4 linked regions of the Macaca fascicularis genome follow. The protein of the gene in region 4 interacts with the protein of the main gene of each other region in a biochemical or structural test. Links are inferred from orthologs where the notes say so. Each region holds a gene or a part of one and is shown on either strand. Other genes may lie near its edges.

Region 1 (4,257 bases), on a different chromosome or scaffold from region 4:
CTGCTCCTTGGGAGATTTCCTCTTTTGACAAGACATGCCTTACATCTGGCAAGAAAAACAGCTCCAGGCTTTTTCTGATAATATCAAGGATCATTTGTTTGTATTAGATGTTTGTGTGGGTTTCCCTTAAGAGCAGTAAAGTACTGCTACAATTTCTTCCAAAACAATAGCACACACAGTTTCTTGGCTTGCATTTCCACTGTACACCTGCACCAGAACAACTGTCTGGAATTAGCAAAGTTGTGACAAAGTAGACAGAGAAATGCATTTGCTTTAGTCACTTCCTTTTGGATATCAACAAATGGTAACAGTCAAATTCATGAATGCAGCATCATTTCAAATCTACTATCTGTAACCTTTCGTCATGAAACGCTTGCTATGGAGAAAATGAAATTTATACTCAAAATTATACCCCTTCTTTTCAAAATCCCATTCTGTATTTTATTCTAACTGAGATGTCCAAAAGATTCTTAAGAGAAGCACTATCTTCTACTTTCTGATTCCAGACCTGTTAATGCATACATATTTAGTTATGGGTAATCCTCAGTTAATACTCCCTTTCTAGAGAGACTTCCGCGATCAGTACCAAAATACAGCACCTTTCAAATAGTCTTGAGGACTCCTTAAAGGTGTCTCCTTGTACTCTAACCATGCTGAATGTAATTTAACATTGAGATGCATTAGAAACAGCCAACAGACTTTCTCTCCCAGATGTGTACACATTAGCATACTGCTTTCCTACACCTTGTTCTTTGCCTTTTAAATTTTCAATATGTACAAATGAAATACAGATTTCAACCCATTCCCAATTGAGATGTCTGCTCCATAAAAGAAAACTAGGTTTTTCCCTTCCTGCAGATTCAGCAACGAAAGTAGTGCTTGAAAATTACGTGTTTAGAGTGACACCTTGGAGAACTGACATACTTTGCACACATGTAATCCTCATAAACCTCCCCAGACAGCCCTTATTTCATTTTGCAAACTGCACCCTGGCCAGGCTCCACGGCACGTGGTGTGTGGCGAGACTGTCCTGCAGCAGTTCTCTCTTCCTCTGGGCTCTTTGATGGGCACTTGTCAGTAACAGCCAAGAGGAATCGGACCCTGCCTCCAGCAAGTGAAAAAGGGGCACCGACAGTAATGCTTCCTTAATTAACTTTCCCAAGGAAAGCAACGTTACCACAGGAAAAAACAACACGTTTCCCCCCTCCTAGAGGTCCATTGAAAATGAGCAACAATGCTGTTGCCTTTTTGTTTCCTAAGACTTTCTTCGCTGCAAGCAGTAGCGTGTTCCTCAAAGAATGCTAGTATTTCCTGTGGAAACTGTATGGCTGCCAGTAATGGCTCATAATTTTCCCTCTTTTCTTTTCGTAAAAATGAAATAAACAAAATGTGGCCTTTGACAATAGCCAAAATTGGGTTCACCCTACTTACCACCTGCAGATGAAAGTCATCGCCAAGAGAGAAGGCCAAGAGAGAAACAGTCCCCGCTGAAATTGACGCGGACCAGCCTGGGACGCAGGACAGCATTAGAGGGAGGCTGACGGAGCCCGGGCTGGACAGGGCAGTCGGGGAGCCCGTGCTGATGAGCGAGGGGCGGCAGCAACACCAGACGTCCCTCTTCTACAGCTATTGCTACCGTTGTTAGTACCGTCGCTATTACTATTACTTCGCCCCTCCTTACCTCAGCTCTTCCGAGCCGCGGCACTGCCCATCCCTGCCTGCGATACGATCCCGGGTGGCAGCAAGAATAAGAACCACATGAGGCAGGCAAATGAAAAGAACAATCCTTTGGAAACCGAGGCGGGGGTTGTTTCCCCCTTTCCCCAGTAAAACAGCCGCTGCCGCCACCACTGTTACTATAGAGACCTCCCCCCAAACCCTTTCTGCAGAGACGCCTCTGCTGTCCCAAGCAGCCGAGACTCGCGGCACAAAGGGGGCCCCGGGCTTGGGGAGCACGGGGCGACACCCGCCAGGGTCGCCTGGTGCAAACTTGGAAAGGCTGAGCCGCCAGCTCCTCGCCCCCCGCCTCCCCGCGGGGTCCGTTTGGGACCTGGACTCACCCGGGGCGCCACGCGCGCCGGCGGCTCAGGAGCGCGAAGGGACTGACAGACCGACGGACGGACTGCGGCGGCGGGAGCAGAACAGCCTCGGCGGGAGCAGGCGAGCGGCGGAGGCGCTGCCGCGGCCCCGCTACGTCACAATGCGGCCCGGCCGCGGGCGCAGCTCCCTGGGCCCCCCAACGGGCGCGCGCGGGCGGGGGCAGCCTGGGCGGCCGCCGGCCGGAACCGGCGCTGGGGTACGCGGAACGCAGCGCGGGCGCCCGGCCGGGGACGGGGGCGCGGCCACCACTGCCACTGCCGAGGCTGCTGGGGCTGCCGCGCCCTCAGGCTGCGCTGCGCCCCTGCGGCCGCCCCCCGGCCAGCGAGCCCAGCTCAGCCTGACTGACAGTGACCCTCCCCGCTGGGCCCCCGGCCCGGCCCACGCCCCTCCCTCGCCGCTTCCTCGCCCGGGATCCCCCGGCCTGCCCGCCGGCTCCTGTTCACGAACCTGCTCTTTCTTTACCTTTCGCTCTTTTTACCTCGACTGCCGTTGCTTTTCCCCAACTGGGGCTCTCCTCTCCTCCCCGCCTACTTTTTGTCCCCGCTTCCCACTTTTCTCCTCCTGCCCCCCCTTCCTTGCTTCGCGGCCTCTCCCCCTGGAAATCGCCCCCTCACCGTGATCCAAGCGTCAACCGCTGCCATCTCATTGGTCCCCAGACCATTCCAGGGTTCCAGCATAAACCGGGAGAAGAGACTCAGGAAGGCGGGGAACGGAAGGTGGGCATGGCCCTGGGAAACTCGTGTCTGAGAAGCCTTTTGGCAGAGTATTTTGCGTTGGCACGGAGTCGTCACCCCCACCCCTCTCCCCGAAGCTCGCCCACCCCTGAGGACGTGGCCAAGGAGAGGAGGGCACGGGTGGCTTTGCCTGCCTGGAATGTTCTGTGCTCAAGTGTGGGTGGATGGAGAAGATCTTGGGCTGAAATAAAGACTTTTTAATTCAACGACGTTTCAATGTACCAATGGCCCTACAGTAATATTAACTTTACTTTTATTGTATCTTAATTGTTGAGGGATTGGGGGTGGGAGGCTGCTGGATGAGGAGTCAGCAACGCCTGCAGTGCTGACTACTTCTTTCCTTATTTCCGAAATGAAATCAGGGGTTGTGGAAGCATTTATGGTAACCTTGGCTCACGACTGTCTTGCTGTTGCCCTCTGGAAAGCTTTAAATGATCTTTGAGAAATCTCTTTCCCAGGCGAGATGACTCGGAGAAGTTCACTCAGCAAAGCCATTGAGGACCACACTCTTGTTCCAGGGTATGACTGCTTGCCTGATGCTGCCCCAGAGAAAAGCGTGAGGAAGTAAGTCTTGGTCAGTTTAGAGGCATCTTCATTCCCTTGCCAGTTCCAGAGGACAAGAGCAGTGCCAAGATCCTGGGACACCCGGCACTATCTGGGTAGTAGCAATGGGGATGTGTGATCTTGTTACAACAAAAAAGGAAGGCTCTGGTTGTTTAAAGCTGGGGTTTCCTGAATAACTAGCCTAAGACTGCCTTCAGTCTTTGTGGAGTCCACAGGCTGCGCTGTACTAGGAGGGCATAGGCAGAGTAATGCTTGCCCTGGACCTGTTTGGACCAGGACCATCGTCACTGAAATGAGGACTACCTTGAATGCCAGCGGAAGACATTTCACATGTGTCTAATTCCATTTCCTACTGAAACCTAAATGTCTTTCTTGGCTGTTGACATAAACAGCCAAGATCATGTCCTGTGCTGTTGTAATTTGTTTATTGTAATTTATCGTAAGACTTAAGTACATACATGGAAAGTGGCTTCACAATTTTAAAAATACACATTATCCCCCAGTAGAAAATATAAAATTGGATGACATCATGTGGCACTAAAAATACTTGAAAATATTGGGTTTGATTTGTTCACATCTGGTTAAAATAAAACTGCCTTTTTTTTTTTTTTTTTGCCTAGTGTAAATTTTGAGAAAAGCACATCTTGCTTTCATCCAGTAGATATGGATGGGATTGGTGTCACCCTTGACATGATCTACAGAGAACATACTTTATTTCCATTCTCTTAAATATTTTGACACCCTGTTTTTGAAAATCATTTTAATTTATTGAAGGATTCATTTACTGAAGAATTATAAATGGTCATCTCCTTCCAACTGTCCTAAATATTCATTAGCTCTGGTCGAGCCAGGTGTTAAT
Region 2 (4,128 bases), on a different chromosome or scaffold from region 4:
GTTTGAAACCAAAATATGATGATTTGTTTGGAAAGGAGAAGATGGAAACGGCTTCACAGAGGAGATGACATTTGAGTTGGGCGCCAAAGGTTAAAAACGACTTCAAGGAAGTCAGATGGGGTTAGAGATTGCAGACCCAGGAGAAAACAGAGTGTGCATTTGCTCACATTCAACCTTATCATTAAGTCTCTCAAACTTGGTCAACAGAGTGCGAGTTTATGTGCTCTGGCTTTCCTTCCTGGGTCCGGCATCAAACAAACGACCCTTTGTTTTCACAGTACACTCATTAACCCTATTGCTTTTTTTAATGTAAAAAGCTCCACGATTAATGTTCTTAAAAAGCACATAAGTAAATGTTTCACGAATCATAACTCTTTTCTAATAAAATTACTGAAAAAGAAACCTACAGTTCTGTTACTTATAATAGTCGAGGAGCCATACTTTTAGGGAAGAACGGGTTTCACTTAAGTTTTGACAATATCGATTAAGCGTGTAATAGTCACTAGTTTACAAAACGGAACATTAAGCCCCCAGATTTACATTAACATTTCCTCCTTAAAAAGAACATCAGATGGTTTAGACTTCAGTCAAGACTCTCTACAGCCCCAGTTCATAGCCAAGTGGCCCCAAAGCCTCATATAGTTAAACCACTTCCTCCAAAAGTCTGCGAGTCCCTTTATCTGAACACAGGGTAACCATGGAGCAGGGACTGGGGAAGAAGACAGTACAAAGGGTGGAAAGTATTGCAGTTGCTTGGGTGGTGAGAAAGGAAGTGGGCGTCCCAAGACTACCTTGAAGCAGGCAAAAGACAGTCTGCAGTGGTCTTCCAAATGCTAACTCTAGACCGTTTTATCCACGTCCCCAGGTATTTACTTCAATAAAAGGGTCAATAAAAGGGTAAAACAACATCACTGGGCTGACAGGATTTCATTTCAAAAGACATCAGCACAGTGACCTCTTAGACTTGATAGAAGAAGCCAGTCAGGTTGCCTCCCCCTTATCAAATACCAATTTAATTCTGATTCAGAAACAAAATTCCTGTGACCCCCACACCAATTTACTCTACCCCAGCTCTTAGTACTTGTCCCCAAAAGAAGAGGGGAAAGAATAGGGATAGGGAGGCTACCTTAAAAGTAAAGCAACTCTTAAGACTGCTGGAATAATTGTCCCCTTAAATCTAAGAAACACTGCAGCTGCCAGTCAACACTACTGGTCTGTGAACACAGCAAAATGCCGACACCTGCCACCCGGCATCTGGGGGTTCTTTTATTTTTTGGTAAATGTGGCAGGAAAGACTCAGAGAGACCAACTGCTTCATGGGAAAGAAAGGGAAGCCCCAGGGAGGAGAGACAAGAAGCATCGTGCCTATCCTAGGGTACTTTGTGTGTCTCCTTTCTATGCACTGAAAGGGCTCTTTGTGTCACACTCACACTCACACACACACACCCGGCGAGTCTGTGTGATTTATTGGGGGAAGGAGGGGCAAGAAGGGTGATTTTATTATCCATCTTCCCAGTGAGTCCCAGCACATCTCTCCCTGGGCCCAAGCTCGGTGGCCTCCTTCTGGCCCAGTCCCCTCCGCCTGTGGCCGCAGAGATAAGAGAGGGGAGGAGCCCAAACAAAAACAGCCATGGATCTAGGGAAGTAGAGAGGAAATCCAGAGAGGGAGCCGGAAAGGAAGGAGAAAGGAGCTGGAGGGAGCAGAGGGGTGAGGGACAGAGGAAGAGAAGGAAAGGCTCTAGCACAGGGGAAAGGGGAAGGGTGGGTGGGTGGTGGCACAGGAAGAGTGAAGGAGAGGATGGGGGAAGTGCAAGGGAGGTGCCAGAAATAGGCAGGAGGATGGGTTGGAGAAGGCGACCGCCGCCGAGGGAGGAGGCCGAGAGGTGGAGGAGTGGGGCAGGGGTTGGGTGGGGAGGGAAGCAGCACGGGGCATCAATTATTAAGTGATTACATCACCCCTGACATTAAAACAACACACACAGCCCCAGTCCCCGCTGGGGGCCCCGAAAGGAGGGCGGGGGCGGAGTCTGGGCCAGCCTCACCCCCAAGCCAATTCCAATTTTCACTCGGCGCCCGCTTGCGGGCGAGGAAATGGGGCCCCCATCCCCGCGCCGCCTCGGAGCCGCACCCCGCAGGGGTGTCCTCGCGTGCAGCCACGGGAAGACCCCGAGCGCCGACTCCCCAGCAGCCCCGCGGGGCGCCCCGGCGGCCGAGGGACCGCAGCGCCGGGCCCCGCGGCGGGGGCGGCGTGCGCGGGGGCGCCGGCGGCCGGGCGTCTCCGCAGCATCCCCGAGGCCTCCCGCGGCGCATCCCCGCCGCCTGCTTACCTGCGCGGCGCTCAGGCTCCGGAGCCCATTCACATGGTCCTCTCCCCGCCCTCCTCCGGCGCGGCCGAGGCGGCTCCGGGAGCTCCCCGGCGGGCCCAGGAGCCGGTGGGCCTTCCGAGAGCACGGAGGGGGCGGCGCCGGGGTGTCCCCGGCCCGGCGGCCGGATCCCTCCCTGGCGCGGGCGGCGGCCGCCGGGCGGTGCGACGCGGGCGGCGGCTTTGTGTGCGCCCGGGCGGTCCTCGGTGCGCCGGGAGAAGCGCGGCGCGCCCGGGCGGGAGAGGACGCGCCGCTCGCAGGGCAACCTCGCCTCTACTCTCGCCGCCGGCCGGCGGGCGGGTCTCGAAGGCCTTCGGCTCGCGGCGACCCCTCCTCCTCGCCCGCGGCAGCCCCCTCCTCGCCGGCTCCGCTCCTGACAGATGGCGCAACTGCAACGACGCGCCGCCGCCACCACCGCGGCTGCTCGCTGCTACTCTTGCTGATGCTCGGCCCCTCCAGCTCCGGAGGGGAGCGAGGAGGGGGCGGGGTGCGCCCCGAGAGTGACAGGCCCCGCTGCCCTATCAAGGAGCCCCTTGGGAGCTGCGGGCCTCAACCATTGGCGCCTGGGGCGTGGGCGGGACGGCAGTGGGTGGGGCCGCCGAGTGGGTTGAGCGTTACTGTGGCAGCGGGCATCCCAGGGTGCGTGCGGTGCAGGGTGTGCAAGAGGATGCGAGGTTGGAGGAGGAGGTCTGTGTGTTTTTAAGGATTGTGTGGAGTTGTGAGGTGGCGGAGTAGGGCGGGAGAAAGAGCGGAAAGTGTGAACTGCAGTTTCTGCTTTGCGGAAGGTTGCAGCTGCTGCTGCAGATTGACACCTGCCATTCCCCCCAAACCATGGGAACCTGCCTCGAGACAGGGCTATCTTGCCTTTCTGGTGTCTTTTCATTTGAGGGTGAGAGGATGAAATGGAAAATTGTTTGGACGGTGATAGCAGCGTTTTCTTTGATCAAACTGAAAAGAGTAGCGAACAAAGTAGAATCCTGTCACTGAAACGTGGAAACGCACAACAAATAACAATGAGGAGGAGAAGGAGATTAGGATCATTTTATCAGTCCCCTGTTTCTGGAGACACTTATTTATATTTCTTTTCTAGCAAAAGTCTAGAGGAAGTATTACTGAAATGGGGGGAGGGGCGAGCAGCGACTAAAGAACCTGAAATCACAGAGATTTGTTCGTACATTTCCCCCCACAAAAAAACCTTGTTTAATTGTAGCCATTGGTTGTCTTTGGTTTCTTATGACATTCAAACCTCTCATGTTTTTTTTCCCCTTCACAGAATCTGAGCTTTTGCTCAGATTTCCCTTGATGAAATAATTGCCGGTTTAGTATACAGTTGGGAGTGCATCGGTCTTTATTTCCTATCCAGCTTTTCTATGGCAGGATGTAACTTCATGAAAAGAAACACTTTGGCTTCCTGATTTTCTTTATAGGTAATTCCTGTTTACTGAAAGTTCTGCTTTAAGGCATACTCAGAATCGCTCTCCTTAATGATTTTGGCAAGAACCCTACCTTTCCCCCTCAGCAAATCTAATGTTCTAAGAAATTATAAGTGAATCAGCTTCTGCTTCTGTGCTCAAAAATCTATAATATTGCCTTTCCGGCCCACTACTTGCTTTTAATTAAGTTTTAAAAATCAGTCCCTTTTGCTGACTTTTTTCTTTTTGTGCACCCTACTTTTTAAGAAAAGTTGCTAATATTTATTACATGATCTGCATCCTATGGAGGAGGAAACTGAGGAAAAGAGAAGTTAAGTAACTAACTCTAGGTG
Region 3 (3,974 bases), on a different chromosome or scaffold from region 4:
ACTAATGGGGACTAACTCCTCAGTAAAAAAAGAAACACCAGTTGAGAGAAGAGTGATGGAACAAAAAGAAATGGAAAGGGATGGCAGTATGTAATGATACGCTACTTAACATGCTGGACACTCCCAAAGACCTTGGGATTCTTAGGACCAAGTGGGGCCAGTCTCAGAGCCTCCCATTGGATGCAAACAAGATGCACCTAAGGAAGCCTGGACAGATGCTTTTTGTTTTTTGTGGTCTTTTTTGAGGGCGGGGCAGAGGGAGCATGACCGGGAGAGGGAGGAGGAAAGGAAGGCCAGGGTGGGGGGAAGGATCAGCTAAATCTGAGGGAAGAAGAAGGAGAGGAGAGGGACTATTGCATAGCAGATGCAAATGAAGGGACTTGGGGCTAGTCAGGAAGAAAGGGAAAGGGAAGGCAGGCAAGAGAGAGGAGGTGAAGGGAACCTCAGGAAGGGGTGTTAAGGACAACCAGAAAAATCTTCTAGTAATAAAACTACAAACAGACCAAATATATATAATATTATATATGTATAAATAACAGCTGGCTATTTACAGGGGGACACACACACGGACACACACACGCACGGATCCAGGGAAGGGGGGCTGAAAGATATGGCTGAGAGGTGGAGGAACGGCTGAGGGTGGGGGGAGAGGCCCTTCTTTAGGCAGGGCAGACTCCTCAGGGATTTAAGTGCTGAAGTAAACTGTGGAGAGAGGGGAAGAAGATGAGGAAGAGGGAGAGGGGAGGGAGAGAGGGAGAAAGAAAGAAAGCAGTGTGTCAGGCCTGGCCCTGCTCCAATCCTCCCCACTCCCCAGCTGGCTGGCACCCCTACCCCTCTCTTGGACTCAGTTTCTCCATCTACAAAGCAAGGGGTTAGACAGGTAGGTTATGAGGTCCCTTCAGTTCCATGGTATGGCCTTGAGGCCACATACCCTAATCCTCTGAGCCTGAGGCCACAAGCTCTCAAATAATGGGGTGGTTGGCTTCCTGGTCATGTCTCAAGCCCCTGGGCCTTTCCTTTCTCCCACTCCTCAATTCCAGGGCTCTCAGATTGGGCTCTTAGGCCCAAAGGGTCCTCAATGGATACACCAACTTTTATATTTCTAAATGTTAACAAAACTGCCAAGAACCAGGCAAAATGCAGGCTAAATAACATCAAAGTTTTTGGCTCTAGGTGAATCAGAATTGCCATTAGCAGCTATATGTGTTTTTGGCTGAAGAGTAAAAACTAGGTTAATGACCTTCAAAACCCAGAATCCACTGGGGAAACCTCTCCAGGGAAAGGGCCCCGGCCATTGCCAGCCTACTCACCTATGATGATGATGAGGATGATGGCGCAAATCACTCCCAAGATGATCATCATCTGGGGGTGAGAGGAGAGGATCAGCGAGACTAACTATGATACCCCATTCACCCGCCAGTCCTCCTTCCTGTCCCCATCCTTACCTTGAGGTTTTTCCACCAGTATTTGCGCTTGAGCTTGGCTGCACTTGTTTCAAACTGGGAGGCCCCTGCCTGGAGTGCATCTGCACGGTCGTCCAGCTCCGACAGCTTCTGGTCCCGCTCCAGGACCTTGTCCACGTTCACCCTCATGATGTCCACCACCTGGGAGAAGGGCCCACGGGGCAAGGGGGTGTGCCAAGGCCCACCTCATGAGGGTAATCCTCAAACATGTGCCCACCGTGCCACACATGGAACATGCACCCTGATGCTGCCAGGTTAACATGCCAAGGACACACACAGTACATGCCTAGCACACCTGGGGACATGCAAGGAGCACACATCAGGGGATTACTGGTGACATCTCAGATATCATAGCAACACCCTCCCTCTATGGCGCCTCAGGCGCTCTGTCCATCACCAGAGCACACCTGCCTAGGCTGGCACACCCCAGGCTAGCAAAGCTGATTAACACCCCCAGCACCCTTCCAAGTGCGTGCTGACAGGGAGACACGGATGGGGCAAGGTATCTTTGTCCGCAAACCCACAGGCGTGAACTGTCATCACTCCCAAACCAACATGGGCCCCTACACCTAAACGCCAACCCCCAGGGTCCTTTCTACTGCTTTTGACTCCCCCCACACTCACCTCATCCACCTGGGCCTGGGTCTGCTGCAGTCTCCTGTTACTGGTGAGGTTTGGAGGGGGTGCAGGGGGGCCACCCTCCCCAGCCGGGGCGGCAGGGGGGGCCGTGGCAGCGGTAGCAGACCTGAGGAGCAGGGACGGATTAAGACCCAGGGCCTGCAGTCTCCCGGCCCTGCAGCCAGGGCTCCGCCCATCCACCTGTCCATCCTCGTCCCTCCAGTCCTCCTTTTCGGGAGGAAGGCCACCCGATGGAAGCCCTGGTCCAGGTCCAGCCTCGCCACCGATGAGCTGCGTGACCTTGAGCGAGGCCTCCCCTCCCCCCGGCCTCAGTTTCCCCGCCTGTCAAATGAGGGCGACCTCACAGATGTGATCGGGGTCGACCCGAAAAGACAGGCGGCCGCGGTGACAGGGGCGGGGCGCGGCAGGAGGACACAGGGTCCGCTCCTTCCTGCGGCCATCGCTCGAGCCGGCCAGCCCGAGACGCTGGGCTTCTCGGCCGCCCGCGCGCAGTCACCGGCTTGGGCCTGGCCCCGGGGCGCGGGGAACGCGGGAGAGACCCCGGGCACTCCCCACGGCCGGTTGCCAAGGGCGGCGGCCGGTGCAGGGAAGCGCGGTGAGGGTGGCGGGCGGCCGACTCACATGGTGGGGGCAGCGGGTGGAGGACTTGGCAGCAGCAGTGATGGCGGCGGCAACTCGCGCTGGCTCCGACTGGCGCTGGCTGCCCGGGACGGAAAGATGGCGGCCGCGCGTCACCCGCATCCGGGCACTGCGGGCGGGGGCGGGGCGCCGCGGGCGACGCGTCGGGAGCGGGGCCGCGGGGGCGGGGCGCTGCGGGACTGGGGTCGTGCCCGGCGGGACTGCGGGTCTGGCGCCACCGTGCCCCGGCAGCTCTCTGGGCACTCACGGGACCACCAGGCGGGTTGCTGCGGCTTCCCTAAACCCACCGTCACCCCGCCCTGTCTGAGCACAGCCTTCCACAGCCGCCCCCAAACCTCTTGCCACCTGCCCCTTAGGGCACACAGCAGCCTGGCCCCGCACCTAACCCCCAGACCACTCCCTGAATCGTGAACCCAATAAGCCAGCCTGCATCCCACACAGCCCAAGGTCTCGCCCCGCGCCCAGGTCCCAGCACCTAGCGACCCGCCTTCAGCACTGGGAATGGGCTGGGGTTGGGAAATCAGAGAGGGCCAGTACAGGCGCTGGGGCAATATCGAGAGCGGGGACCCTGCTGCTAGGGTGGAGGGGAGTGGAGGAGGTTGGTCTCAACCCATCACCCCGCTGGTGGATGTCTCAGAGGAAGCCTGCGATCCCAGGCCACTGGGTAGGAGGGTGGGAAGAAAAGATGAGGCAGGCTCTTCCTGCCGAAACAAGTCCCGGGGGTGGAGGACCGGGGAGTGTCTACAGGGTGTGAGGAGGGGGGTGCCCCGCCTCACGATTGAGGTTCAGACCAGGGGTACTTAACAGCTGGAGCAGGCCCGACTGAGGTGGGGTGAGCTGAAGACCCCGAGGAGGAGGGCACAAGGCAGCCGGGGCTGATGGGGGCAGGGGCTGCTTCACGTGGTGGCTGCTGACTGGCCAAGACCTAGCTTTGCCCCAGGCTTGGGTCAGCGACCCCAACTGCAGGAGAGGGCTCAGGCTTTGGTCCCAGGCACAGGGACCAAAAGGCTTTTTTCTCTCTCATTTTTTTTTCTTTAGTAGTAGGCACAGTGGGTACAGTTTACAAGGTGCTGCTTTACATGCGTATTCGCCTCGCAGGTGTGACCTTGGACAGTTGCCGTCCTCTCTCTGGACCCCAAATACATTGCATATGTAGATACTAAATCCATATTCGTTAAATGGCTTGATGTGGATAACATGGAAGATTATCCCTATCTCCATTAGGCCCTCTAA
Region 4 (3,510 bases):
AGCAAATTATTTATTATATTTAAAGGTGAAGAACACTTTGGCAAAGAAAGAAAGAAAAACAAAGGAAGGAAGGAAGGAAGGAAGGAAAGAAGGAAGGAAGGGAAAGAGAAAGAGGAAGGAAGGAAGGAAGGAAGGAAGAAAGAGAAAGAAAGAAAGAAAGAAAGAAAGAAAGAAAGAAAGAAAGGAAGGAAGGAAGGAAGGAAGGAAGGAAGGAAGGAAGGAAGGAAGGAAGAAAGAAAGAAAGAAAGAGAAAGAAAGGAAGGAAGGAAAAGAGAGAAGGAAGAAGGAAGGAAGGAAGGAAAAAAGAAAGAAAGAAAAAGGAAGGAAGAAGGAAGGAAGGAAGGAAGGTAGGAAGGAAGGAGAAAGAAAGAGTAGGGAGACTGAGAATACCAGAGGTGAGAAGAATGGCTCCAATTTTATATAGATTAAGGCAGGCCTCCCCAGTAATGTGTCAGGGCAAGGGTATGCTTGATTTATTCAAGAAATAGCAAGGAGACAGGGAAAAAGCAAAAATCATTTTGCTGTTGTAGTGGTGACATTTGTAAAATTTCATCATTGTTGACACCTCATACCGTATTAGTTTCATATTTAAAATGAAAGTTATAGTATCTTTGGTATAATCTTATTTGTGCCCCATGTTTGTCAAAAAAATTCAGTCAAAATTCTTCTCAGAATTTTAAAATCTACCTCAAAACTATGATCTCTGGTTGGTATATATTTTAAACCTCTTAGTTCTCACAAACATGTATTTGGCAATGAACTGTTATGTAATATGCAAATATGCCATTTAATAAGAGATGATGTCACTATAAAGAAATCAAGTAAAAGAATTTTATTTTGGAAATTAAGAAATTAGGCACAAAGAGATTTGTTATTCCAAGGAAGAGAAATTCCAAGACTTATAGTTAACATGAAAGTCCTCATTCTTTTTGAAATGTCACTGTTCCTTTGACATTTTGCTACATTTTTTATTTCATTAACTTTCTTCTAGAAATTGAAACAATCATGATAATTATAAAATTTGCATGGCATTTATCTGGGTTAATGCCTGAAACAAGCAAGACCAATATAAAGGTAGCACATTTTCACAAGGGGAGGGTCAGGTAGCTGTTCCTCACAGTAAGTGTCCTGCTCCTGCCTCCAGGCCTCACATGAAAATGAACCATAATCTCACCAGCTTATAAATGTAGCACAAAATGTACACACCGTACCTTGCCCAACTGGTCCTTTTTGATGAAGCCAGTGGCTGCTGCAATGTTCCCTGCTCCCTCCACTGTCTTCTGGGCTACTGCTGTCACACCCGTCACCACCGCTCCTCCAACATTTGTCACTTGCTCTTTGGTCTTCTCAGCCACTGGTACAAATCAAGAGCAACAACAGATTAAAGGGTGGTGGAATAACAGTGACTTAAAATCATTCCACTTCCACTAGCCATCGACTTCCATACACCTGTATCTACACATGCCATAGACAACTGAGGGGTCAGAAGAAACAAGCAACCAAGGTGTCCAAGTGAGCGTGGCTCAACCAAACATTGAATCTCGGCTAAGATATTTTTGTTAAAGTCATGCAGTATTAAAAAGTGCTTCAAGTTTAATGATCCAGAATGTAAAGCCATGAGTGATTTGGATTTGTTTTATACTAAGGAAAGCAATTCTTACAGGTGCAGTTATAGTTGAACCAGACTCAACATGAGTATTTCTTTATTTCAATTCAGTGCCAATCCTTTGAGCTCACTCAGCAAGTTCATTTCCACCACACATTCTAAACAACACAATACATACTTGTATTTATTTATTTATTCATTCATTCATTCATTCATTCATTCATTCATTCATTCATTCATTTGAGATAGAGTTTCACTCTTGTTGCCCAGGCTGGAGTGCAATGGCACAATCTCAGCTCACTGCAATCCCCACCTCCTGAGTTCAAGCTATTCTCCTGCCGCAGTCTCCTGAGTAGCTGGGATTACAGGTGCCCATAACCATGCCTGGCTAATTTTTTTTGTATTTTTAGTAGAAACAGGGTTTCACCATGTTGGCCAGGCTGGTCTCGAACTCCTAACCTCAGGTGGTTCACCTGCCTCGGCCTCCCAAAGTGCTGGGACTACAGGCATGACCCACCGCACCCAGCCCATACTTCTTATCTGTGTGTTCAGACACGGTATTATCACATATGTATGAATGACAGCATAAGAAATGGTTTTGAAGGAACTTGGATCTTTTTATAGAACTTCAGGTAGTGAAACATAGGGTTCTTAAAAGCTAACTTGCAGTAATTTTAATAGGAGCAAAGGAGCTGGACAGTATGAAAATGAAGAGGCTATTGAGCACCCTTAAAATTCGTTTTCACAAAACAAAATGTGATACGGTCATTCAGTAGGTTTATTACAATAAGTTAACATTTTTGAGAAGACAGTGTAAACAGTTTGAATTGAGTTTATAGGCAGAAATTTAATTTCATGTCAAAAATTTTCTTGTTCAGTGAAATAAGCCAGAAACAGAAAGGCAAACACAACATAATCTCACTCATGTGGAATCTAAAGAAAAAAAAAAAAAGTTGGTATCATAGAAGCAGAGAGGAGAACAGTGGAGGAGAGTGGAGGATGGGGACACTCATCTAAGGAAATGAAGGCACATTTTCTTGATATGATTTGTACTCCCCAGATAAGCCTCAGTCTGAGAGGAGTTACACCATGTCAGCTCTTTCGTGCTAGTCACATGATTATTGTATAGGTTTCATCTCACCAGTTGAAGAAGCCAATAGTTAAATGGTGTGGACAAAGCAATTCATTTTCAAATAGACTATGTAAGTCACAGAAGCTAAGGGGCCTGTAAGGACAAGAGGCTTTCTCCTTAGTTCAGGCAATGTGGGGAAGCCTGACATAGCCACACAGCCCAAGACCAGAAAGGGTCCACAGTATTGTTGCTCCCTACTTGTCTTTTAGGCTAGAATTTTGTACAACTACCTACCAACTCCGTGCCATTTCTAAGGATATGGCTGATGTCTCCTTAAGAGTAAGAGCTATTTACAATTCAAAGTTCGATTTAAATGCCAGTGAAAAGCTGTACTGAAAATTTTATGTTTTAAAACATTTCTGAAATGTTGATCCTTTAAAAATAGTCAATTATGTGTTTCAAGTTGTCATTTTTTTCGTTTTCAAGGACGAGAATTGAAAATTTTGCTTCAAATGAACATTTTCTTGTTATAAAATCTTGAAGCAAGATTAAAAATAGGTTTTGAATTTTTTACAGATCCAGCCATAAATTTTATAATATCTAGATAACCTTTTATAGATGTATAAATTTTAATCTAGTTTTAATGCAATACACTGCACAGTAAAATGTACTCTGCACATTATTATAATTTCACTCTTTTATTATTATAATAATAAATAAAATGGTTACATGACAAAATAACAGAGTATACAGGTAGCAATCATCGACACATTTAAAAACATTTCTGTAGAACTGGTTTCTCTAGTAGGGTCTCTGCTGACCTTGAACCTCT

What was found.
Region 1: the proteins of SNCA (region 4) and SNCAIP form a complex in vitro, tested with the Homo sapiens proteins (3 studies listed by BioGRID and IntAct, with this or other methods). The link is inferred for Macaca fascicularis from reciprocal best matches to the Homo sapiens genes SNCA and SNCAIP.
Region 2: of the proteins of SNCA (region 4) and FYN, one has a biochemical effect on the other in vitro, tested with the Homo sapiens proteins (3 studies listed by BioGRID). The link is inferred for Macaca fascicularis from reciprocal best matches to the Homo sapiens genes SNCA and FYN.
Region 3: the proteins of SNCA (region 4) and VAMP2 form a complex in vitro, tested with the Homo sapiens proteins (3 studies listed by BioGRID and IntAct). The link is inferred for Macaca fascicularis from reciprocal best matches to the Homo sapiens genes SNCA and VAMP2.

What each region holds. Positions count from the first base shown.
Region 1 is NC_088380.1:128,907,249-128,911,505, reverse strand, and holds the start of SNCAIP (synphilin-1), read right to left. Parts: upstream 2,805-4,257; 5' UTR 2,720-2,804; coding exon of another isoform or gene 1,772-2,719; exon of another isoform or gene 1,437-1,771; intron 1-1,436. Other genes in the region: uncharacterized protein, read left to right, coding at 1,772-2,719. UniProt on the Homo sapiens protein: Isoform 2 inhibits the ubiquitin ligase activity of SIAH1 and inhibits proteasomal degradation of target proteins. Isoform 2 inhibits autoubiquitination and proteasomal degradation of SIAH1, and thereby increases cellular levels of SIAH.
Region 2 is NC_088378.1:15,922,008-15,926,135, forward strand, and holds the start of FYN (tyrosine-protein kinase Fyn), read right to left. Parts: upstream 2,805-4,128; 5' UTR 2,328-2,804; intron 1-2,327. UniProt on the Homo sapiens protein: Non-receptor tyrosine-protein kinase that plays a role in many biological processes including regulation of cell growth and survival, cell adhesion, integrin-mediated signaling, cytoskeletal remodeling, cell motility, immune response and axon guidance.
Region 3 is NC_088390.1:8,246,502-8,250,475, forward strand, and holds the start of VAMP2 (vesicle-associated membrane protein 2), read right to left. Parts: upstream 2,805-3,974; 5' UTR 2,726-2,804; coding exon 2,724-2,725; intron 2,209-2,723; coding exon 2,088-2,208; intron 1,605-2,087; coding exon 1,446-1,604; intron 1,363-1,445; coding exon 1,311-1,362; intron 703-1,310; coding exon 686-702; 3' UTR 1-685. UniProt on the Homo sapiens protein: Involved in the targeting and/or fusion of transport vesicles to their target membrane. Major SNARE protein of synaptic vesicles which mediates fusion of synaptic vesicles to release neurotransmitters.
Region 4 is NC_088379.1:95,364,113-95,367,622, forward strand, and holds part of SNCA (alpha-synuclein), read right to left. Parts: intron 1,355-3,510; coding exon 1,212-1,354; intron 1-1,211. UniProt on the Homo sapiens protein: Neuronal protein that plays several roles in synaptic activity such as regulation of synaptic vesicle trafficking and subsequent neurotransmitter release.